3 linked regions of the Stegostoma tigrinum genome follow. The protein of the gene in region 1 binds, or shares a complex with, the protein of each later gene. Links are inferred from orthologs where the notes say so. Each region holds a gene or a part of one and is shown on either strand. Other genes may lie near its edges.

Region 1 (7,991 bases):
CAAAATGCAAGCGTGCCTTCATCACCACTGTGTCCACCTGTGACACCACTTATAAAGAACTATGTACTTGCACCCCTAGGTGTCAGTATTCAACACTGCCCAGGGCGCTACTACTAACTGTGTAAGTCCTGCCCTGGTTTGTCTTACCAAAATGTGACATCTCACATTTATCTGCATTAGACACCATCTGCCATTCCTCAGCCCAATAATCCAATTGATCAAGATCCCATTGTACTCTTAGATAACCTGCTTCATTGTCCACTACACCACCCATTTTGGTATCATCCTCAAACTTACTAACCATACCTCCTACGTTATCATCCAAATTGTTTATACAAATGATGAACAACAGTGGAGCCAGCACCGATCCTTGCAGCACACCACTGGTCACAGGCCTCCAGCCTCAACAACAATCCTCTACCACCACCTCTGTCTTCTACCATCAAGCCAATTTTGTATCCAATTGGCTGGCTCTTGCTGGATTTCATATGATTAAACCTTACTAACCAATCTACCATGTGGAACTTTGCTAAAGTCCATGTAGACAACATCTATGGCTCTGCCTTCATCTGTCTTTTTGGTCAACTTTTCTAAACACTCAATCAGTTTGAGAGAGGCAATTTCCCACACAAAGCCATGGTGACTATCCCTAGTCTGTCATTGCCTTTCCAAATGCACGTAAATCCTGTCTCTCAGAATCCCCTCCAATAACTTACCCACCACTGACGTCAGGCTCACTGGTTTGTAGTTTCCTGGTTTTTCCTTGCAGCCTTTCTTTAATAATGGCACAATAGCCATCTTCTAAGTCTTCCGACACCTCACCTGTGGCTGTCAATAATATAACTATCTATGATAGGAGCCCTGCAATTTCTTTCCTAGACTCACTGGGGTTAAACTTGATCAGGTCCCAGGGATTTATCTACCTTTATGGGTTTTAAGACTTCCAGCAACCCGTCTTCTGTAACGTGGACTCTTTTCATGATATCACCACTTAATACCCCAAGTTCCCGATCTTTCATGTCTTTCTCTGCAGAGATTTTGATTTGCACCAAGACTTAGAAATTAAGATCAAAGTGAACTGCCTAGTACATACAACATTAAAGTCTGTGAGAAGCAACATCTTGAATTAATTATTTTTCTCAGCCTGATACCTGCTGCAGTGTTCCTACTGATAATCATTTAATTAATTTTAACTAAAATCTCATGTAAATCACTGAGACACAGGTTGAATCTCAAACTGATGTATCTGCATTGGCAAGACTTTTCTCCTGGTGGGGAGGGAGTGTCTGGGTATCTCGATTCAAGTGCTCCTGCAACTGAACAAAACTGCTTCAAAAAGACCAATTTCTCAAACAGGGACATAACATTAAAGTTAGAACAGAACCGGAATTTTCCCAATAAACTGACCAAGACATAGTGAAAGAAAGAATAAAGAAAATACTTGCATTTTTGGATTTATTTTGTTCAGATATGTTACGACACACCCCTGGAGCAAGTGGAACATGAATCCAGGGCTCCTGGCTCAGAGATAGGGACACTAAAGAGTCACAGTGTTGCTTCTTTCACTCTCTGCATTGTCAGACTGAAACACAATCTTTCGTGTTAGCAAATGGATGCTGTGGTTCAAGACTTGCACTTAAATAGTGCTTCTCGTGGAATTTCAAAGTACCTTCCAGCCAAATTTACACACAGTAAACACCACAAACAAGGTAATCATAACCAAATAATGTTTCTGTGATGTTGATGATTATTTGTCAGGGTTTTAAGTTGAACAGCTCCACTCTTTAAAAACTAATGCTATGGATCGTTTACATCCACTCAAGTGGACAGATAAGTCCTTAGCTTGGCATCTCGTCTGAAAAAACAGCATTCCTACCATCTCACTTCCTCAGTAGTGTGGAGTATCAGCCTAGATCTTTGTGCTCAAGCCTGGATTGGGGCTTGAACCTAGATTTTTGACTCAGAGGCAGGAGAGTTATCCACTGACCCACAGCTGACACTAGAAAAAAAAGCAGGGGGAGAGAGAATTTCAAACAGCCAACATGGACAGAAAGGATCAAATGACTTCTTTCTGTGCTCTAGAATTCTATGAAATTGAAAAGAAATCTTGTTGCTTTTAAATACTGAAGCAAAAAATCCAATTGTAAGTTATGTGTCACAGTAACTTTACTAATCAGTCCAATATCCCGGAAAACAAGGTCAAACAGTTTTCACTGCTGAAATTACATAATTGATCAGCTTTGGAAAAATTATTACTTTTTTCTGTGAACTACCAAATAATTCACAATAGATTTGCTCAGAAGGAAGATTGTTCTATAAAAATCATACAAGTGTCCAGGGTAGTCAAATACCCAGACTGTTACTAAACTGATGAGGTGTAATGGTGTCTGTAAACCGGAAAAGATGTACCTGGTTCAAGGCATCTGCTTCATTCATTCTAAGCGTTGTCAGATTGAAACATTCCATCATGTTAACAAATGAATGCAGCGGTTCAAGAAGAGAGCTCACCACCACCTCCTCAAAGATAACTAGGGATGAGTAATAAATGCTGGCCCAGCTAGCGATGCACGCATGCCATGAATGAATATAAAAGCAGCAATTTATCGAAGATCAACAACAGGGTTAAATAACAGCTGCAAATTTTGTCCATTGCTTTGTTTTTATGAAAAGGAAAAGGGTATTCAGTCCTTCAAGGCTCTTGCAGCATTTATTCAATCACAGCTGATATGCATCTTAGCTCCATCTATAAGTCTTGGTTCTGTGATCTGTATGGAACGGGTTAACAGACCACAATGCATTTATAGTGGCGATGGTTTTGTAGAAACTGAACAGGTGCAATTGATGCTTGTTAACTGCAGTGACACTGATGAATTAAATAAAACAATGTTAATTCAATGGGACTGTTAATTACAGCAGAACTGGGTGAAACAGGCAGAGGTAGATTGAAAATAGACAGGCAATATCGGCAGAAAAGAACTGAAATTGCTGTAAACACTCAGCAGGTCTGGTAGCATCTGTGGACAGAAAGCAGAGTTAGCATTTCGAATCTAGTGACTCATCTTCAGAATTGAATTCTGAAGAAACTTTGAGTTCTGAAGAAGTGTCCTTGGGCCCAAAACATCAACTTTGCCTTGTCTCCACTGATGCTGCCAGACCTGCTGAATTTTTTCAGCAAATTCAGTTTTTGTTTCGGATTTCCAGCATTCGCAGTTGTTTTGGGTTTTTGGCCATTATAACAGATGTGAAAGAAGTTCTCTTCTTAATAGCGCTATGGGTACATTGCAACAGATGGATGCTAATGTTCAAGACAGAGGATCACCACCACTGGACTTCAGGGTAATTGGGGACGAGGAATAAACACCCATTTGTTAAGCAAGAGTCAAGAAAAAAAAACAGAAGACAAGTGTCAATGGGAACAGCTGTGCCTGTTTCAAGTAGGAAAATCTGAGTGAAAGATCACTGCTAAGTGGCCAACAGACACTTCAGATAGACCATCTGAAAGGGTAACTGAATGACTTAAATGAAACCATTTCGTTTAAATTTCTCAATAAAGTTGCTGGATTTAGTGTGAGACATCCCAATTTTAATTTTTGTTCTCCAAGTTTAAGAAAAACGGGTAAAATCACTCACAAGCCCTAGTACTCTCACCTTACGAAGTCAGTTAATCTCCATTGTCTTGAGATTTCCAAGTGGCCACCAACCACAAAAGCTTCCTGCAAACAGCAAACGGCAAACGATGTGTGTTTTATTGCTTAACGTGAGCCATGCCATAAAAATTCCGAATGCAAAAGTACTGCCAATGTTGAAATAAGAACTGAAAGTAGCAACGTCACACACCACCTAAGGGGAGAGGTGGAGGGATAACATTAACAGAGTCCAGCATTTTATTGTTTCGTGCATTGGTGCCAACATCGTGGGTTGAATTCCCAGAGTGGTTGAGGTTACCATGAAGGACACTCCTCAAGTTGCCGCATCGCCCGCGGTGCGGAGACCCTCAGGTTGGACCACCGTTAAGTCCTCAGCCCTTTCGTCTGGTAACACTATGGCGACTTCACCTTTGGAGTCATGATTAAATCACACTGCAGTGCAATAAAACAAAGAACTGCGGATGTTGGGAGATCTGAAGCAAAAAGAAAGAGAGGTAACCCTCAGAAGAAATTCGGGCAGGTCCTGGCAGCATCTGCGAAGAGTGTTACCGTTTCGAACCCTGAGACCCTTTCTCTTCAGGCACAGCAGAAGAGACACTGCAGGTCTGTCCTGAGAGATGGAGCCTTCATGGCCTGTGCCCACAGCCTGCAATTCATATGTAACTCACCCAACTCGTCGAAGGATCTGCATCCAGCAGAATTCAGCTACTGTGGTTACCCGTCCACTCTGTGTCTCTCCACTCCAGACACACTGATGCAGCAGGTTGCAGTTCTCAGCCAGGAGGTGGGGGAGCGGGTAGTTTTGATGGGCAGGCGCACCGACCAATCGACGCTCGCACAAGGGGGGGTGAGAATGGGGAGGTTTTGATGGGCAGGCTCTTCGCCCAATCGCATCTGACGTGGGGAAGGCGGATACGTCGGACGGCCATTGATGGACAGCAGCAGCGCCCAATCGCAGTAGCCACAGCTGTCGAGCCCACGTGCGTCGACGCGCCGGCTCACGTCGAGCCCGGCATCTCCTTAGCAACAGACAGGTCAGAGCGTTAGGTAGAAGTTTGCGGTTTTTAAATCATTGTTGAATGCAGGAAACAAGTGGAATTCATTTAAGTTAATAACCATTAAATAAATCGGTGAATTCTAAAACAGCTGACTGGTTTACCATGAAATAATGAACAGCCATTACAAAGTGTTAACAATACCATCTGATCCCTCGCTGTTTCGTTGATCTGATGTAGATTACTGGTATAACATTTATTTCCGGATTATTCTTTTTTTTGACATTCGTTTTCTCATATGATTGGCTTCCCGGGGCATCCAAAAGCGTCATTTCCGTTGCTAAGGTGAGAGGTCACCGACAGCTTCCGGCCTGTAGCTCAGCTGTTTATCGCAGGGCTTTCAACGTGCCTCGCATAAGGGGCACTTTCACTGGGATATGCTCGGCAGAACTGCCCTTCGGGGCATCGTGGGGGCCCGAGGAATCCTGTGCAGGAGGTTCGGCGCCTCACAGAGACGCAGGGATGGGGATGAGAATGGTGAGCCTGCGTGGTGGGGAAAGGGAGTGGAATGGAGATGGATTAGAAGATGGGTTGGCGGTGGCAGGTGATGGGGATGGGTTGGGGGAGACTGGGAAGAGGGAAGTGGATCGGGGCGATGCGTTTGTTGGGTGGGGAGGCGGCGGCGGCGGCGGCGGTGTTGGGGAGAGAGAGAGAGTGTGGGAAGTGGATTGGGGGGGCGGGTGAAAGGGGATGGGGGCGTGGTGGGGTACTGGGAAGAAGGAAGTGGAAAGTGGGTCGGGGCGATGCGTTGGGGGGGGGGGGGGGGGGCGCGGGTGAAAGGGGAAGGTGTTTCGGGGGGGGGGGGGGGGCGCGGGTGAAAGGGGAAGGTGTTTCGGGGTGAGGGGAGTTGCGTGGAAGGACTTGTTGAGCAGACGGATCGGAATTAGACCGGGTGGATTTTGAAGGGCGAAATAGTGGTTAGTGTGATACTACCTGAGCTTCACTCGTGAAGGTATTTGCTAAAAGTTATGTAATTTTCTTGCGTTTTTCCAGATAACGATTCTTTAAAAGATTTTAAAGATAAAATTCGACCTCTGTACTTGGATTTCCAGGCAACCACACCAATGGTAGGAATGTTTGATGCATATAATCCAATGAGATGCAAATTAGAGGAGTTTTTAAAGTTGTGTTTGTGTAATCGGATGGCTGACCAGTTAGCCCCAGGCATATTGAATTCTAGACTCAATATTGTTGTGCTCCTAAGATGCTGCTTGGCCTGCTGTGTTCATCCAGCTTCACACTTTGTTATCTCAATATATTGTATCTCCCTTTCCCTTCTGTGATCCTCTAAAGATTTCTGTGCTTCTCTGATTCTGGTCTGTGACCATTTCCACATTTAATTCATTTCCAGTGGCGTATTTGTGTTTATCTGAGTGGGTTCTGAGCTCTTGAATTCCCTACGAAGCCACTTCACCAATTTTAAGATATTCTTCAAAACCAACTCCTTGATTAAGCTTTTGGACACCTGCTGTAAAAAATTCCTTGTGTTCCTTGATGGTGCTTTTGTGAAATGCCTTGGTGCATTCATTACGTATAGGGTAATTCATGATATTTTGAAATGAAGTGTAGTAAGTTTTATTTTTAAACTGTATAGACCGCAGTGACCGGTTGGTGTTTAAACTCATAGAGATATGCAACATAGAAAAGGACCTTGCACTCTTATTTGTCCATGCTGACCAGACATTCTAGATAAATCTAGTCCCGTTTGCCAGCATTTGACCCATATCCCTCTTAAATTCTTCCAGTTTGTACTCCCATCCGGATGCCTTTTAAATTTTGTAATTGTACCAGCCTCCACAACTTCTTCTGGCAGCTCATTCCTTACATGCTGCACCCTTTGCATGAAAAAAGTTGCACCTTATGTCCCTTTTTAAATCTTTTTCCCCCTCTTAGCTTAAACCTTGTGGGGAAAAAACTTTGTTTATTTATTCTATTCATACTCCTCATGATTTTATTAATCCCGAAAAGGTCACCCCTTAGCCTCTGATGTTCCAGGGAAAATGGCCCCAGCGTATTCAGCCTCTCCCTATAGCTTAAACCCTCCAACTCTGACAACATCCTTTGTAGATCTTTGCTAAACCCGTTCAAGTCTCACAATATCCTTCCTGTAGCAGGGAGACCAGAATTGAACACAGTATTCCAAAAGTGGTCTAACCAGTGTGCTGTACAGCCATAACGTGACCTCTTTGCACATTAGCCAAAAAAAAAGCAAGCATACCAAATGCCTTCACTATCCTATCTACCTGTGAGTCCACTTTCAAGGAACAATGAACCTGCACTCCAACGTCTCTTTGTTTAGCAACGCTCCCCAGGACCTTACCATTAAGTGTGTAAGTCCTGCCTTGATTTGCCTTTCCAAAATGCAGCACCTCACACTTATCTAAATTAAACTCCTTCTGCCGCTCCTTGGCGCATTGGCCCATCTGATCAAGATCCCGTTGTACTGTGAGGTAACTTTCTTTGCTGTCCGTGACACCTCCAATTTTGATGTTACCTCCAAACTTACTTACAATACTTACTATGTTCGTATCCCAAACTATTTAAATAAATGATGAAAAGCAGTGGACCCAGCACTGATCCTTTGTGACACCACTGGTCACTGCCTCCAGTCTGAAAAGTAATCCTCCACCACCATCCTCTGTCTTCTGCCTTTGAGCCAGTTCAGTATCCAAATGGCAAAGTTCTTCCTATATGCCATGTGATCTAACCTTGCTAACCAGTCTACCATGAAGAATCTTGTTGAGCACCTTACTGAAGTCCATATCATTCACTTATACCACGCAACAATAATTTTCGTTACTCTTCAAAAAGCCTGATCTAGGTATTGAGACGTGACTTCCCAAACACAAAGCCATGTTAACTATCCTTAACCAGTCCTTGCTTTCCAAATACACGTTGGTCCTGTTCCTCAAGATTGTCTCCAACAACTTGCCCACCACTGACATCAGGCTCACTGATCTTTGATCTTAGATCCCTGGCATTTCCTTACGATCCTTCATAAATAGTGGCACCATGTTGGCCAACCTTCAGTCTTCCAGCACCTCACCTGTAGTTGTCAATAATAGAGATATCTCAGCTAGGGGCTCAGCAATCACTTCCCTTGCTTCCCACAGAGTTCTAGGTACATCTGATCAGGCCTGGGGACTTATAAGCTTTTATGTGTTTTAAGCTAACCAGCACCACCACCTCTGTAATATGGACATTTTTCAAGATGTTGTATTTATTTCCCCACATTCTTTACCTTCCTATCCTTCTCCACAGTAAACACTGCAAAATACTCATTAATTAT
Region 2 (7,435 bases), on another chromosome or scaffold:
TAGAAATACCCTATTAAGTTTGGGGAACTTTTAAAAAAAATATGCATGATTTCTGGTGTGCTATGCTATTCAGTTTTCTGTCTGTCTGTCTCCCCTCACTTGAACGTGCCAATGCTTGAGGAGATGGCTCCATAGACATTAATAGCTTTACAGGTTTGAAGAACATGCTACGTTTAAACGCAAACTTCTCTGGATCACTGATCAAAAGTTGAGCTCTAAATTTAATTCATCTAACTATGGCACTGAAGCCAACTGCTGGACTGAGAACAGCTCATTCATCCAAAGAGCTCTCTGAAATGGTGACCCATATCTTACCTTTGGGAAGCAAACTGAACCATTATACGCAGCCCTTCAACTTTGCTAAATAAATTAAAAAGGGACATAATGGCTCAATTGATAATGTTACATTTAAATACATTGCTACCCATATCCTGGATCACCTCAAAAAACTTTACCTGTAGTTTCATGACATCACCACAAGCCGGTGCACCAACCAGGCCAGTTCCAACATTTTTTGCATTCTTATCCAAGGATCCAACATTTCTGGGATTCTCATAGTGGTCCACTACCTACGGTAGAAGGAAATACAATAGTGCAAGTCATGATGACTCAATAGAACTCTAGCTTCTGATTTCAAAACTGTGTTCAAGTTTCATTAAGCACAAAGAAAGACCAAGCCTATAGTCTAGTTCAGGACCGACAGAACGCAGCGCTGTCGGAACTGTCGTCATTTGAAAGACATCAGTCTGCCCTATCAGGTGGGTGGAAAAGATTCCACCGCATTACCTCCACAGTTCTGGTCAGAATCTATCCAGAGATAATTTGGTCATAAGACCATACAGCTCTTTGCTGAAGTTTTATTTGTAATGTGCAAATTGGCTGTTGCATTGCATACAATCTGGACTAGACATGAAGAATATTTCACCAGCTGTACAGCACTGCTGCCCAAAATACTTTATAAATTCAATTACAACTTCCTCTCATCACCACTGCATGCCTACACCCCCTGCTTCTCCTCAACACCACATGCCCATGCCCCCTGCCTCTCCTCAACACCACACGCTCACGCTGCCGCCACACCCCCTCCACCCTTTCCATCTGGACTACGACCCCATCGCTAATCATAGGTTTCCACAGATGATGTTGGGACCTATCCCCATTACTACTTCCCACCTCATTATCCCCAACCCTGCACAGCCTGCTACAACCTTCTTCCCAAAATCCACAAAATAGGCTGCTTGGACAGATCCACAATTTCAGTCTTCTCGCTGATCCACATATTTCTTATTTTCCTCTTATTCACTTTCTTCCCATATACACGTGACTCTTCTGATGCTTTACATTGGCTCCACAATTTGTTTTTTTTGGCCCTAGCTGCCACCCCTTCACAATGAATATACAATCCCTCAATTTCTATCCTTTTCACTTCCACGAGGTCCACTTCTGACTCTTCCTGGTCTTCTATTCCCATTTCTGGGGATAGGGTGCCCACCAGTATCCACTACAAACCCATCAACTCTAGACAGTTGTATTTGGAACTGATGCTGAAGAATCTCAGATAACAAAGTGTACAGTTGGATGAACACAGCAAGCCAAGCAGCAAAGCTGACATTTTGGGTCTAGACCCCTTCTTCAGAAAACCCAAAATGCTTGGCTACACTTCCTTGTACAAGGACAGCATTCCATTTTCCAAGTTTCTCCATCAAGTGTTGACAGGGTTGCCTTTGAAATGTTTTTTTTCCTTCAACCACAATACCAAACATTTTTCCATTCCCCACTACTGATTCTCTGAGACACCCTGATCTATTTCTCTACTTCACTTCTGACACTTCCTCACCTCTATGGCATATTTCTATACAATTAGAGATTACATATCACTTGACCTCCTCACTGTTCACAGCCCTAAGTACACATTCCAGGTGAGGAAGTAGTTTGCTTGTACTACTTTGCATGTAATCTATCACTTGCTACTCACATTGTTGAGGCCAAACACAAAACAGACAAATGGCTTGCAGAATACCTTCACTTTGTAAGAATGAATTATGTCCCAGTTGCTTGCTATTTCAACTATCTCGCTGTCATTGAGCATTTTTGTCCTAGGCTAGCTGCAGTGTTCCATCAAACCTTAGCACAAGCTGGAGGAACAGCATCTCAATTCCCATTCCAAAAAGCAACAGCCTCCACAACATTGAGTTCAATCCCTCCAGGGCATGCCATCTTTCCTCTGTTTCGATTACAGCACACCACCCAAACTCTGGCACTTTGCATCTTGTCAACTTTGCTGTCAGCAGAGCAGACGCATTTTCTTCTTTGCGCACCTCTTTCAAGTCTCAATGTCTTCTTTGGCACCGTTAATACACTCTTTTGCCTTCTGTTCTGGTATCCTCGCCATCTGTCACACTCACTCCAACATCCCATTTGTCTACAGCGTGGTACACACGCTGATTCGGTTATAATGGACCGGAGGCATTGAGAAAACTTTCTCGTTCGACGGACGGTGCCAGACTTGCTGTGTTTTGCCAGCATTTTCTCACTCTGTTTCACGTTTCTAGTAGCCATTCTGCTTTACTTTTACAGGCATTCCTTCTTTACCCACCACTCCACTTTCCCCTGCACACCCTCTTAACTGCAGCCACAACACTTTTTGTATCCTTAGAGACTAAGTGTTAGAAACGCTCATGCCACACGGCATATGTAAGATCACCCTCATCACCAGACGGTGCTCTCATTAGCTAACAGCCTCCTACCTGCCGTTTTGAATAGATTAGATTAAATTACATTCACTACAGTGGGAATTTGCGGACTCCCCTGGCCCACCCCAACGTGGACAGCCTCGGGACCAGGCGCAGAGTAAAGGCTGCTACCATTCCCAAGCGCAGTTACCTTTTTGTGATAAGCAGCGACGAGGGGTGCCCGAGCCTTCAGCACAAGCCGCGAGAGAGAACCAGTAATTATAACCGCCGCCATCACTACCAATAGCCGAGTGCGTCACAACCTCCTACTTCACCGCCCGACGTCACCAACACTGACACCCCCTCCAACAAGTGCTGTTACGTAAGACTGACCACGCCCCCGCGTGGTTATGTCATGCACTGACCACGCCCTCCCCACGGGACGCATTGACGAGTGAGCAACGCGCCACTAACAAACGTGTCCCTATGTTGTTTTGTTTACCACGCCCCTTACGTGACCATGTGGCTGGCTGGGCACGCCCCTTGCGTGGTTGCGTTACCAACTGAAAACCGCTCTGGAAGGTAAACAAAACATCGCGACGCGCTCTGCATCGCGGCCTTACCAATATGGTGACAATTCGTACCCCGCTTTCGTCATATGCAATCGTCAGTTTCATTAAAGCCCACATGTCGCGTTGTTATGTTGTAAATATTACATCCATTTGTCCCATATTCTCCCGAAAATTTCTGTTTAAAACAGCTCCCGCTGTAATGCGTGGAATTGTACTTCAAACTGAAGCTTCTATTAAAATAAGGAATTGTTCTATAAGAAGTAGTTGTGTTTCTCAGGATGTGAAGTGTTCTATTTGATCGGGCGTCTCGGCCTTTCCCGCACTGCTGCGCATGATGGCGACTATCGGGAGGCGACGGTCGAGTGAGGCTGAGGAATTGGAGGTTGGAACCGGGGGCGACTCGGAGGAAGAAATGGAAGACTCTTCGGAGGACGAGCAAGAAAACGAGGCGGAAATCCAGCGTTTGGAAGAGCAGGTGCGACGTGATGGCGGGCGGGAGTGAGCCCGCGGGATTTAAAACTTCAGCACGAGCTCCCCCTTCCCCCAGCCCCGTCCCAGTCCCACTTACTCTCCCAGCCCTTTCGCCCTCATCCCACCTCTACCACGCACTCTCGACCCCTCCCCACTCACCCCGAAGTTCCCTCTCCCATTCCTCCGACCTCCTGCTGACTCCTGTCCGCCTGGCCTGTTCACTGTTGTGAAATAAGTAAACCAAAACATTTCCGTCATTGCCGAAGTAAAACAAACATCTGAAAAATCACTTGAAAACCACGTAGTCAGGACTAATCCTTCGAAGAGCCAAGAGAAAGGCAAAATGCCTGAGGTCATCTACGGAGAGAAAATATAATTTTCTGGGGCATAGTACTCAGGTTCACGCTGAGTTGAATGAATGGCCCAATTTCTAGCTATGTATGTATGATAAAGTCATGACCAATAAAATCCAAATGACTTGAAGCATATGCCTTGACTCACAATAAATCTCACTGGCAGCCAGTGACTAGTAAGTTACCACAGGGATTAGTGCTTGGATCCAGCTATGGAGTATAATGGATATATATGCAATTATCCACTTTGGTAGCAAAAACAGGAAGGCAGATTATTATCTAAATGGTAACTGGAAAAGGAGTAGGTCCAAGAGACATGGGTGACCTTGTACACAAGTCAGTGAAAGTGAGCATACACATGTAGCAGTGAAGAAAGCAGGTGGCCGCCTTAGTGAGAGGATCCTACTGCAGGAACAAAGATGTCTTGTTGAAATTGTACTGGGCCTTGCTGAGAGCGAAGCTAGAGTATTGTGTTCAGTTTTTATCTTGTTACCTGAGGAATAGTGTTCCAGCTTTGGAGATAGTGCAACAAAGGTTTACGAGGCTGACACCGGGACAGCAAGACTGATATACGAAGGCTTTGTTAGGACAATCTTCATTGGAGTTTACAAGTATGAGGTTGGAATCTTGTAGAAACCTATAAAATTATGACAGGACTAGACAGGCTTTATGCAGGAAGGATAGTTCTGATAAAAGGAATCCAAACTAGAGGTCACGATTTAGGAATATGAGAATGCCATTAGGGACTGAGATAAGAAATGTCTCATGCAGACTGGTGAGCTTGTGGAATTATCTGTTACAGAAAGCTGTTAGAGATAAGACATTGAATGTTTTCAAAATGGAGTTAGATATAGCTCTTGGGGCTAAAGAATCATAGGGTTTGGAGAGAAGGTGGGAACAGACTACTGAGTAGGATGATCATTATTGATGATTGCTAGGTAATTGAGTCCATTTAAGACGGAGATAGATAGGTTCTTAATTATCAAGGGGATCAAGGGTTCGGGGAGAAAGCAGGTGAGTGGAGCTGAGGAAATTATCAGCCGTGATTGAATGGTAGAGCAGACTCGATGGGCCGAATGGCCTAATTTCTGCTCCTATGTCTTATATGTTCTTATTATATTGAAAAGCAGATCAGACTTGAAGGACTGAATGGCCTAATTATACTCAGAGGTAAAAGGGAACTGCTGATGCTGGAGAATCCAAGATAACAAAGTGTGTAAACTGCATGAACACAGCAGGCCAAGCAGCATCTCAGGAGCACAAAAGCTGACGTTTCGGGCCTAGACCCTTCACAGAGAGCCTCTCTGATGAAGGGTCTAGGCCCGAAACGTCAGCTTTTGTGCTCCTGAGATGCTGCTTGGGCCTGCTGTGTTCATCCAGCTACACATTTTGTTATCTTGGCCTAATTCTACTCCTATTTTTTCTAAATTTCTCAAGACTCTATGATCATTACTAAACTTTAATTAGTCTTGATCTAGACTAAAGTCACATCTCAGAAATTTGGGACACTGTGGTTCCTCAAGAATCTGCTGCTTATCCTTTCCAATGCTATTGTGAAAAATTTAAGTGCCAGTTGTGATGGGCCAGTTTAATGAGTGTGATATTTAAGTCAGTTCTCTTGCTAGCAAATTACAGACGTAAGCTGTTTATAACTCTCACCAGTGCAATGAGATCATCATACTCAAACATAGTGAAAGTGTAAGATAAACTGTCAGGATTCACCGTCAACATCTCAAGTGAGGTCATTTATTTGAAAATTGTTGGATATCACGGACGTCTAAGAACGGTTTAGCTCTGGAAGCTGTATTGTGTCCCAGCTATATCTCCATGTAAACAACTTTCTCAGCAGTTTCCATATGTAAACTGAGTGAGATTCTGGAGAACAGTAATGCGATTCTTTATATTGTATACCGTTTATGGCAGTGGAAGTACTTTATTCCACTTGGGCGACTATGTTCAATTATGGAAATTACCACAATTCTGTGGACTGAAGTACTTCATGCTCAGTGAAATACTGAAATCTGATTTATTATAAATAAAATTATTCAGTAGGAAGAAAAAAGACACTGAAGAGTCAATCTTACCTCCGATTTGTTCCCATGTTTACAGAGACTTGCTGCCCTCAAAGCAATAAGGCTGCACTTTTACAGAAGAATATTGTGGTTTTCATGGTAGAGCAGTCCTCTATGCAACAATGTAAAATAGTGTATCATTTCACACTAAGTGATGATGAAAGGGTATTTTTAAACCCTCTGTTTATCTGTTTAAAACATTTTACTTCTGAGTTTCATATGGCTTTATGCTTGTTATGTCATTGGCCAGGAAGCTTGATGTTTTTATTTTGTGGCATTAACACAGTTGTCAAGGTTTGCCATAGACTAAATAGACGCCCATTTTTGTCTGATGTGAATGACAAGTTTAAAAATTGAGAAGCAGACTTATTGATAACCAATTGGCTATTAGAAAGTTTAATAAAATGACAGATGTATTCTAATATTAATCACTGGCATGAGGACAGCAGTAATCTGTGCCATTTATTTTAGCTTTCCATAAGTGCCTATGATTACAACTGTCATGTCGATCTAATAAAATTGCTGCGTCAGGAGGGGGAGCTGGAGAAGTTACGAGCTGCTCGACAGAAGATGAGTGAACTGTTCCCTCTTACAGAAGGTAAGACTATCCTTGTTAGACAATTGCAACACCAGCTGAAACCTGATAATGTAATGCAGATCAGACTTTGTAATATGTTTATGACCAGCATCCTGATAAAAGTTTGAATTAATCCACTTTCCACAAGATTTTGGCTGTTTTTTTAAAAATTTCTCCTGTTTCTTCGAAACTGATCATGTGAACATTCTGTTATTGACATGGCAACCTTAAAGCCACAGCTCTCGTAATCCTGACTAGTTCTGTTTGTGAAGGTTCTGTTCTCAGTTATATTGAGGAAACCAATCCAATTCTGTTTTTCAGAGCTTTGGCTGGACTGGCTAAAGGATGAGATTCTAATGGCAGAGGGATCAACTGACAGGGAGAAAGTGTATGAACTGTTTGAGAAGGCCATCAAAGATTATATTTGTAAGCTCTTTTTTACACTTTAGTGTTTGCCTGACTCTTAACATTGAGTAATCACAGCTTTCTTTGATGAATACAAACATATCCCCCACTGTTCTGCTTCAGGTAGAACGTAGCTGTTGGCTGGGCAAAGTGTTAATCTTTCTAGCTCCCCCAGTGAATTGAAGTGGGAAGGAGGAAAGAGACTTTGTTTATTAATTTGTGAATGTATCAAAAGACTAAAAGTATATGTAATTTCAAATAATGAAATCTTGAAAGTTAGTTCTTCTCATTTGCAAATACCCTCAGCTTTAAA
Region 3 (7,859 bases), on another chromosome or scaffold:
CTTTTCTTGGGACATTGTTCTCTGCTCAGAACAGAAAAACAGGCCATTCTTCGCTGCTCCGACCATTAATAAGATTGTGGCTGATCCTCTACTTCAACTCTGTCTACCTGCACTATTCTTGTATCTCTCAAATCCCTTAATCCTCTAAAAACCTTTCAATATTTATTTTGAACCAGTGCTGTGCATATTCAGCCTCTAAAAGAAAGAATATTCCAAGAATTCAGAATCATTTGAGTAAAGAAATTTGTCATCTCCCTCCTAAATTTGTGACACCTTTTTTGAGGCTATGCTTCTTAGGTAAAGGCACATTGCTGTTAACTGACTTGTCTTGTTTTATTAGATGTTTGATATTACTTGGCTGCAAATAAACTAATGGGTCTTGATCATCAAGAACAAGATGCACTGCAGCAAGTTCCCAAGTTCCCTTGTCAGCACCTTCCAAAACTGACAATCTTTACCACCTAGGAGGACAAGGCTAGCATACTGAAGGACAGAATTAATCTCAATTTGGACCAACAAAGATTAATTAAGGATAGTCAACATGTGTCTGTCAAGGCGAGATTGTATTTGACAAGTCTGATTTGAGTTATTTGAAGTGGTTAATAAGTGTGGAGATGACAGTGGGCAGCTTGTGCACTTTAAATGTACTTCAGTAAATTTTTTGACAAGATGTCATACAGGATATGTCATACCAGTATCCTGGTCAAGAAGGTAAAAGCCCATACACTCCTGTACCACAGGGTTCAATATTGTTTATAGTGCTCATTAATGATCTAGGCATGAATGTAGGAGGTTTGATCAGTAAGTTTACAGATGACAGGAAAATTGGTGGTGTGGTAAATGAGCAGGAAAGCCTTAGACCACAGGATGATACAGTCAGGTTGGTCAGAAGGGAAGAACAGTGGCAAATGGAATTGAATCCAGAAAAGTGAGGTGATGCACTTTGGGAGCACAAACAAGGCAAGGGAGTACACAATGTACTTAGAAGTACAGAGGATCACACAGATTTTTGTTCATGTCACATATCCTTGAAGACAACAGTACAGGTAGATGAAATGGTTAGGAAATCATGGGATACTTGTCTTTATGTGTCAAGATGCTGAATACAAGAGCAGAAAAGTTTTGACGGAGCTGCAAAAGATGTTAGTTAAACCACAACTGGATTGTTGTGTGCAGTACTGGTCACAACACTGTCGGAAGGATGTGAATGCTCTAGAGAGGATTCACCAGGATATCGGCTGGGCTGGAGCGTCTCAACTATGATGAGAAACTAGATAGACTGGGGTTGTTTCCCTTAAAGGACAAAAGACAGGTAGGGGCTTAACTGATAAATACAAAATTATGAGGTATAGAAAGTTCGAAAGGAAGAAAATTCTCCTAGTAGAGGGTTCAGTAATTGAGCAGTTTAGATTTAAAAGACAGGAGGTTTAGAAGGAATTCAAGGAAGAACATTTTCACCAAATTAGTGATGGGTATCCAGAGCTCTGCCTGAATGAGTGGTAAAGGTGCGAACGATCACAACATTTAAGTAGTATTTCAATAAACACTTGCAAGGCGTAACATACAAGGCTATGGGCCAAGTGCTTAAAAAACAAGATGTGCCCAGGCTGCTGTGTTCATCCACCTCTACACCTTGTTATCTCAGACTGCAGAGTCGGCAGCTCCTACTATCTCTGAATGAGCAGATAAATGCTTGATGACCAGTGAGTGTGTGAAGGGCTGGAGGAAATATGTGTGTTGTAAAAGGACTGACTTTAATAATACATCTAAAAGTCCGGAGATTGTATCCTAAATAAAAACAGAAAGAACTGCAGATACTGTAAATCAGGGACAAAAACTGAAGTTGCTGGAAAAGCTCAGCAGGCCTGGCAGCATTTGTGAAGAAAATAAAAATCAGAGTTAACGTTTTTCATCAGGTGACCCCTTCCTCAGCTCTTGTTGTTGCAACTCTATCTTATTCAGCACAAAATCTTAATCAAGCTTTAGTCTGGCATTGGTGACCTACATTCCCATAACAATTAATTGATTGTAAAGCATTTTGATTTTTTTCCAACGATCATGAAAGACAATGTATAAACATATGACTTTCTTGACACTTCCACCTTCAACTTCTCAATCTTGGTTTGAAATCCCTTCATGGTCTCACCCAGTGTTTCTGAATTTTATCCAGGACCCAAAGCCAGAAACACACCTATCCCTGGTCAGGTCTGACATTTTGTGGATCTCCCACTGATCCCTTTTTTTCAAACCTTTCTTTAAAGCCGATCTCTCAGATTTCTGATGAAGGGTCTAGGCCCGAAACGTCAGCTTTCCTAAATAATAAAGTGTGAAGCTGGATGAACACAGCAGGCCAAGGAGCATCTCAGGAGCACAAAAGCTGACGTTTCGAGCCTAGACCCTTCATCAGAGAGCCTAGGTCTAGGCCCGAAACGTCAGCTTTTGTGCTCCTGAGATGCTGCTTGGCCTGCTGTGTTCATCCAGTTTCACACTTTGTTATCTTGGATTCCCCAGCACCTGCAGTTCCTATTATATCAAACTTAAATTCTGTTCGCCGCTTCTAATCTCGCTTTTGCCTGAGATTTTTTTTTCCCGTGTGTGTGTGTGTGTGCGCGCGCGCGCGCGAGCTTTTGATTGCGTTTTTGCCCGTTTTTCTCGCATTAAGAACGGCTACATAAATAAAATGTCAGTGGTTGAAATTAAATTGCGGCTTAAGTGGGATGGAGGAGTGTGACATGGGATTGATAAGCAAAGTACGTAGCAAATATCAACATTCCCTGGCGGAAAACAAAATTACTTCTTTTTACCTATAATTGTAACTGGTGAACTTCTTGCTTTCTTTCAGCATCAACCTGTATAAAGACAGGACCTGACTGCTTGTGGGCACCGCCATCTTCGTTCTTCGGTCTTTACCACGCAGGACCCCGGTGGCTGGGCGCGCGTGCCTGAAATGGAACGTTGTGCAGGCAACGGCTGTCCTGTGGAACCTTCGACCGTTCAGGATTCAAAACAAAACTGAATACGTCCGTTCTGCTTTTGCCTTGCAAAATCCTAAAAGTAGGATCCACTGTTCGCATTCTCTAACACCTTTTATTTTCATAAAACTGTTCTCTCCTCTCGACTGGCAAGACAGTGTCCTACTATTGTCAATTTGTGTTGTTGAGGTGGTGGGAGGGGAAAAAAGAGGTCAAGGAAGGGACGGTGTCACTGTTGTATCTTTGCAAAGAAGGTGAGTTGGTTCGTGAGAAGTTGTGCATGTTAAGAGCACAGGGATATAGAATATGCCCGTGGTGGTTCCTTTTTTTTTAAACAAGGTCATCGTTCCAAAAAGGAGTTCTCTTTTATAATCCTGAGACTAAAATAGAAGGGACGTGTCGGGGAACCACGTCCGGTGTCTCGAGGAATGCAATTCATTGCACAGTTACTTGCTGTTGGGCAGGGTTAATAATCGTTATCAGGTTTTGTTCTTCATGCACGCAACTTTTGAGCGCTCCTCCGATCTCTCATTTTTGGCTGTGACGCAGCCTGTACAAAAAGGACGCGAAACAATGCAGAAACGCCGTTGGTGCTGGAGATCTGAAACTAAAATAAAGTGGATGGCAATGAGCAACGTTTTCACACCGGGAGGCTCATTAGGGTCTGGAATACCTTTTATCTGAAAGAGTGGTAGAGACAGATTCCTCCACGAATTGGGATTTGCAGGATTATGGGGGTAGAGGAGGGTGTGTACGACAAAAGCGGGTAGAAAGATATGTAGAAATGATGTAGCTGGTATGTACTTAACAAAAGGTGACAATTCTGCTTTCATCACAGCACAAATACATTCACTCAACCAGAAATCTCAAGACTAAGGCTACGTCAGATTTTAGACTTTGTTGGATTTCTGGTCAGGTTCTTTGGACTGTGGGTGTTCAAGCCAATTGGATAATATGGAGTACACAAAGTGTGGAGCTGGATGAAGACAGCAGGCCAAGCAGCATCAGAGGATCAGGAAAGCTGACCCTTCTCGACCCGAAATGTCAGCTTTCCTGCTGTGTTCATCCAGCTCTACACCTTTTGTTATCTCGGATTCTCCAGCGTCAGCAATTCCTACTATCTCTGCATAATATGGAGTCAATGTTGTTTGAAATGTGGGAGATGTGTGATATAAACAGACCAGTTTCTCTGGTGTAAATTCTGTGTTACCTTGTTCTTAGTCACATGTATCTTGTACACAAATCAAAGCACTTATTCAAAATATTGCCATTTGTGCTTGAAAAGAGTTTTCCCTTAGAGCTTTCTTATGAGGTTTTGCTTGTCAATAGCTATTTGATCTATAAGTTAGTTAATATAAAATATATGCTGCCTTTTTAATCTCACACAGCATTGGTCACATCTACACAGTTACCACGGCTCTATTGAGATTTTTTTAATGGAGCAGGAATTCTGGTAGTATTGATAATAAGTGACTGCCACCAAGTGAGTTGAGAGGGAATTTGTTTTGGAGTAATAAAATTAGCAATACACTTAGTCTCTATACATTTTTGTACAGATCACTCCATGTCCCAATAGCCTACTGATCTTATCATAGGAGAAATCCATTTAAATCCTTCTGTTGTTTCCAAAGTATGATGAGAAACATAGAGGAACAGGAGGAGGTCATTTGTACCCTTCGAGCCTGTTCTGCTAATCATCACGTTCATGGCTGATTGTCCAACTCAAGAGCCTAATCCTGCTTTCACTCCAACTGCTATATCTGGCTGCCTTTTGAGTACATTCAACTACTTCCTGTGGTAATGAATTCCACAGGCTCATCACTTTTGGGTGAACAAGTATCTCCTCATCTCCATTCTCTGTCTATCCCAAATCCCTAGACTGTGACCCCTGTGCTGGACACGTCCATCAGGAACAGGCTCCCTGCATCTACCCTGTCCAGTCCCATTAAGATTTTAAAAGTCTCTATGACATCTCCTCTTCTCCCCTCTTTCCCCCCCCCCCCCAACTCGCTCATCTGAATTCCAGCGAAAATAATCCTAATCTAGTCAATCTCTCCACTTGTCAGTCCCACCATCCCTGGAATCAGCCTGGTAACCTTCACTGTAGTCCCTTGAGAGCAAGAGTGACTTCCTCAGAAAAGGAGACCAAAATTGCACACAATGTTCTAAGTGTGGTCCTGCCAAGGCCCTGTATAACTGCAACAACACTTCCCTGCTCCTACACTCAACCTCTCGCTATGAAAGCAAACATACCATTTGCCTGCTTTACTGCCTGTTGCACCTACATGCTTACCTGACTGGTGCACAAGAACATTCAGGTCCTATTGCACACTCCCCTCTCCCAATTTACAGCCATTCTGTAGATCTAAACAGTGTAATAAATTATTCATGTGCTGTTTTCACTCAAGTTGTAAATCTGGGACATTCTCATTTCCCAACTTTGATCAATTCATTGACAAAGACAGTTAGATTTAAATAATTACAAGTAGACATTCTCAAAATTGGCAGTCTACAAACCAGAATTGTCCAGAAACTGGGTATTTTTGAATGTGCATGGCATTTTTTTTTTGTTACTCAGTTGAAATTGACTTATCTGGATGATGCATAAATGTATTTGTTAGTTTGCTTGCTCACTAGTTTATTCTTATGTTCCAAGTGACCCAATCTGAATTGGCCTGAACATCCACTGTCCAAAGCAGCAGAAATCCAAATCCAAGATCCAGTACAACCTCAACGGAGTGTACTGTTGAAGGATCCAATAGATGCTTATTTCAACTGGTTATCATGTATAATTATTGAATTACAAACACGTAAGAGTTACAGATAAGTGTTACACTAATGTTATAGCTGAGCATCATACTTGTAGTAGCAATTCATACTTCAAGTGATCTACTTAAGGTGGAGTATGCAGTGTTTATACAATTAGGTCATATTCTATGATACAATGATGATATCACAAGCTCATCTTTTAAAAGTATACTGATGTACTGTGTCTCAAAATATATTCTGATTTTTCAGACTGAGAATAAGTAAGGAAATTATTATTAAGGAAATTATGGATTTCAGCAAGGCGTTCGATAAGGTTCCCCACAATAGGCTATTGTACAAAATGCGGAGGAATGGAATTGTGGGAGATATAGCAGTTTGGATTGGAAATTGGCTTGCCGAAAGAAGACTGAGGCTGGTAGTTGATGGGAAATGTTCATCCTGGAGACCAGTTACTAGTGGTGTACCGCAAGGGTCGGTGTTGGGTCCACTGCTGTTTGTCATTTTTATAAATACCTGGATGAGGGCGTAGAAGGATGGGTTAGTAAATTTGCAGACGACACTAAGGTCGGTGGAGTTGTGGATAGTGACAAAGGATGCTGTAGGTTGCAGAGAGACATAGATAAGCTGCAGAGCTGGGCTGAGAGGTGGCAAATGGAGTTTAATGCAGACAAGTGTGAGGTGATGCACTTTGGTAGGAGTAACCGGAAGGCAAAGTACAGGGCTAATGGTAAGATTCTTAGTAGTGTAGATGAGCAGAGAGATCTCGGTGTCTATGTACACAGATCCTTGAAAGTTGCCACCCAGGTTGACAGGGCTGTTAAGAAGGCATACAGTGTTTTAGCTTTTATTAATAGAGGGATCGAGTTCCGGAACCAAGAGGTTATGGTGAAGCTGTACAAAACTCTGGTGCGGCCACACTTGGAGTATTGTGTACAGTTCTGGTCACCGCATTATAAGAAGGATGTGGAAGCTTTGGAAAGGGTGCAGAGGAGATTTACTAGGATGTTGCCTGGTATGGAGGGAAAGTCTTACGAGGAAAGGCTGAGGGACTTGAGGCTGTTTTCATTAGAGAGAAGAAGGTTGAGAGGTGACTTAATTGAGACACATAAGATAATCAGTGGGTTAGATAGGGTGGATAGGGAAAGCCTTTTTCCTAGGATGGTGATGGCGAGCACGAGGGGGCATAGCTTTAAATTGAGGGGTGAAAGATATAGGACAGATGTCAGAGGTAGTTTCTTTACTCAGAAAGTAGTAAGGGAATGGAACGCTTTGCCTGCAACAGTAGTAGATTCGCCCACTTTAGGTACATTTAAGTCGTCATTGGATAAGCATATGGACGTACGTGCAATAGTGCAGGTTAGATGGGCTTTAGATCGGTATGACAGGTCGGCACAACATCGAGGGCCGAAGGGCCTGTACTGTGCTGTTATGTTCTATGTTCTATCTGTGGTATGTGCGAAATGATGAGTGACAAAAATGTTTGCTTGTGGTCTCTGGTTCTTCTGCTAATCATCTTACGTTTGTGTCCTTTATTTATTTTTTTGCAAACCATTCTGGACTGTGAACACTTCATCTAATTAACTTCTATTCTTTTTCTGCTCCTTGGTAAATAACATCTCTGCATGACTGAAGTCGCTAAACCCTGGGATGATTCTAGTAAATCATGTTTGTATCATTTCCAAAGCCCTGACGTTCTTCCTAAAGTGTGAACTCCAGAATCGAACAAGATATTATAGCTGATGTTTAACCAGTATGTTAAAGGGTTAGAATACCTCTCTGATGAAGAATGCCTCTCTGATGACGGGTCTAGGCCCGAAACGTCAGCTTTTGTGCTCCTGAGATGCTGCTTGGCCTGCTGTGTTCATCCAGCCTCACATTTTATTATCTTGGAATCTCCAGCATCTGCAGTTCCCATTATCTCTTAGAATACCTTGTTTGTTTTTGTGTACACTCCTCTGTTTTTAAAAAAAAACCAAGGATTCAACTAGTCCTGCATTTTTAAAGAATAAGCACACACATCACCAGGCATCTCTGTTCTTGTTTCACTTCCGCGCCCACCACCCCCCCCCCAAAAAAAACTGTTCAATTTAATTTATCTTTAGTGTACATTCATCTCCA

Evidence for each region.
Region 2: the proteins of nfs1 (region 1) and iscua are in contact, whole or in part, in a crystal structure (PDB 6W1D), measured with the Homo sapiens proteins. The link is inferred for Stegostoma tigrinum from reciprocal best matches to the Homo sapiens genes NFS1 and ISCU. Residues at the interface, in NP_066923.3 of Homo sapiens: Tyr360, Val361, Glu362, Glu364, Ser365, Leu367, Met368, Ala369, Lys371, Glu399, Asp400, His403, Ser404, His429, Arg432, Leu433, Glu435, Met436, Ser437, Pro438, Leu439, Glu441, Met442, Trp454, Thr455; in NP_998760.1 of Homo sapiens: Tyr35, Val40, His42, Tyr43, Glu44, Val49, Gly50, Ser51, Leu63, Val64, Gly65, Ala66, Pro67, Ala68, Cys69, Gly70, Val72, Lys74, Phe90, Lys91, Thr92, Phe93, Gly94, Cys95, Gly96, Ile99, Lys135.
Region 3: the proteins of nfs1 (region 1) and LYR motif-containing protein 4 are in contact, whole or in part, in a crystal structure (PDB 6W1D), measured with the Homo sapiens proteins. The link is inferred for Stegostoma tigrinum from reciprocal best matches to the Homo sapiens genes NFS1 and LYRM4. Residues at the interface, in NP_066923.3 of Homo sapiens: Leu56, Arg57, Pro58, Leu59, Pro68, Leu69, Pro71, Arg72, Leu74, Asp75, Leu78, Glu314, Tyr317, Arg321, Asp372, Arg412, Phe413, Thr414, Thr415, Glu417, Glu418, Tyr421; in NP_065141.3 of Homo sapiens: Phe23, Tyr26, Asn27, Tyr28, Thr30, Tyr31, Arg34, Arg35, Asp38, Val65, Arg68, Gln69, Ile72, Thr78, Asp79, Lys80, Leu81, Ile82, Ile83, Asn85.

The regions. Positions count from the first base shown.
Region 1 is NC_081372.1:9,304,772-9,312,762, reverse strand, and holds the start of nfs1 (cysteine desulfurase, mitochondrial), read left to right. Parts: upstream 1-4,966; 5' UTR 4,967-5,079; coding exon 5,080-5,179; intron 5,180-5,695; coding exon 5,696-5,769; intron 5,770-7,991.
Region 2 is NC_081379.1:29,049,555-29,056,989, forward strand, and holds the start of iscua (iron-sulfur cluster assembly enzyme ISCU, mitochondrial), read right to left. Parts: upstream 3,052-7,435; 5' UTR 2,968-3,051; coding exon 2,884-2,967; intron 570-2,883; coding exon 456-569; intron 1-455. Other genes in the region: sart3 (squamous cell carcinoma antigen recognized by T-cells 3), read left to right, coding at 3,576-3,719, 6,612-6,738, 7,039-7,143.
Region 3 is NC_081355.1:11,434,509-11,442,367, reverse strand, and holds the start of LYR motif-containing protein 4, read right to left. Parts: upstream 3,081-7,859; 5' UTR 2,891-3,080; coding exon 2,805-2,890; intron 1-2,804.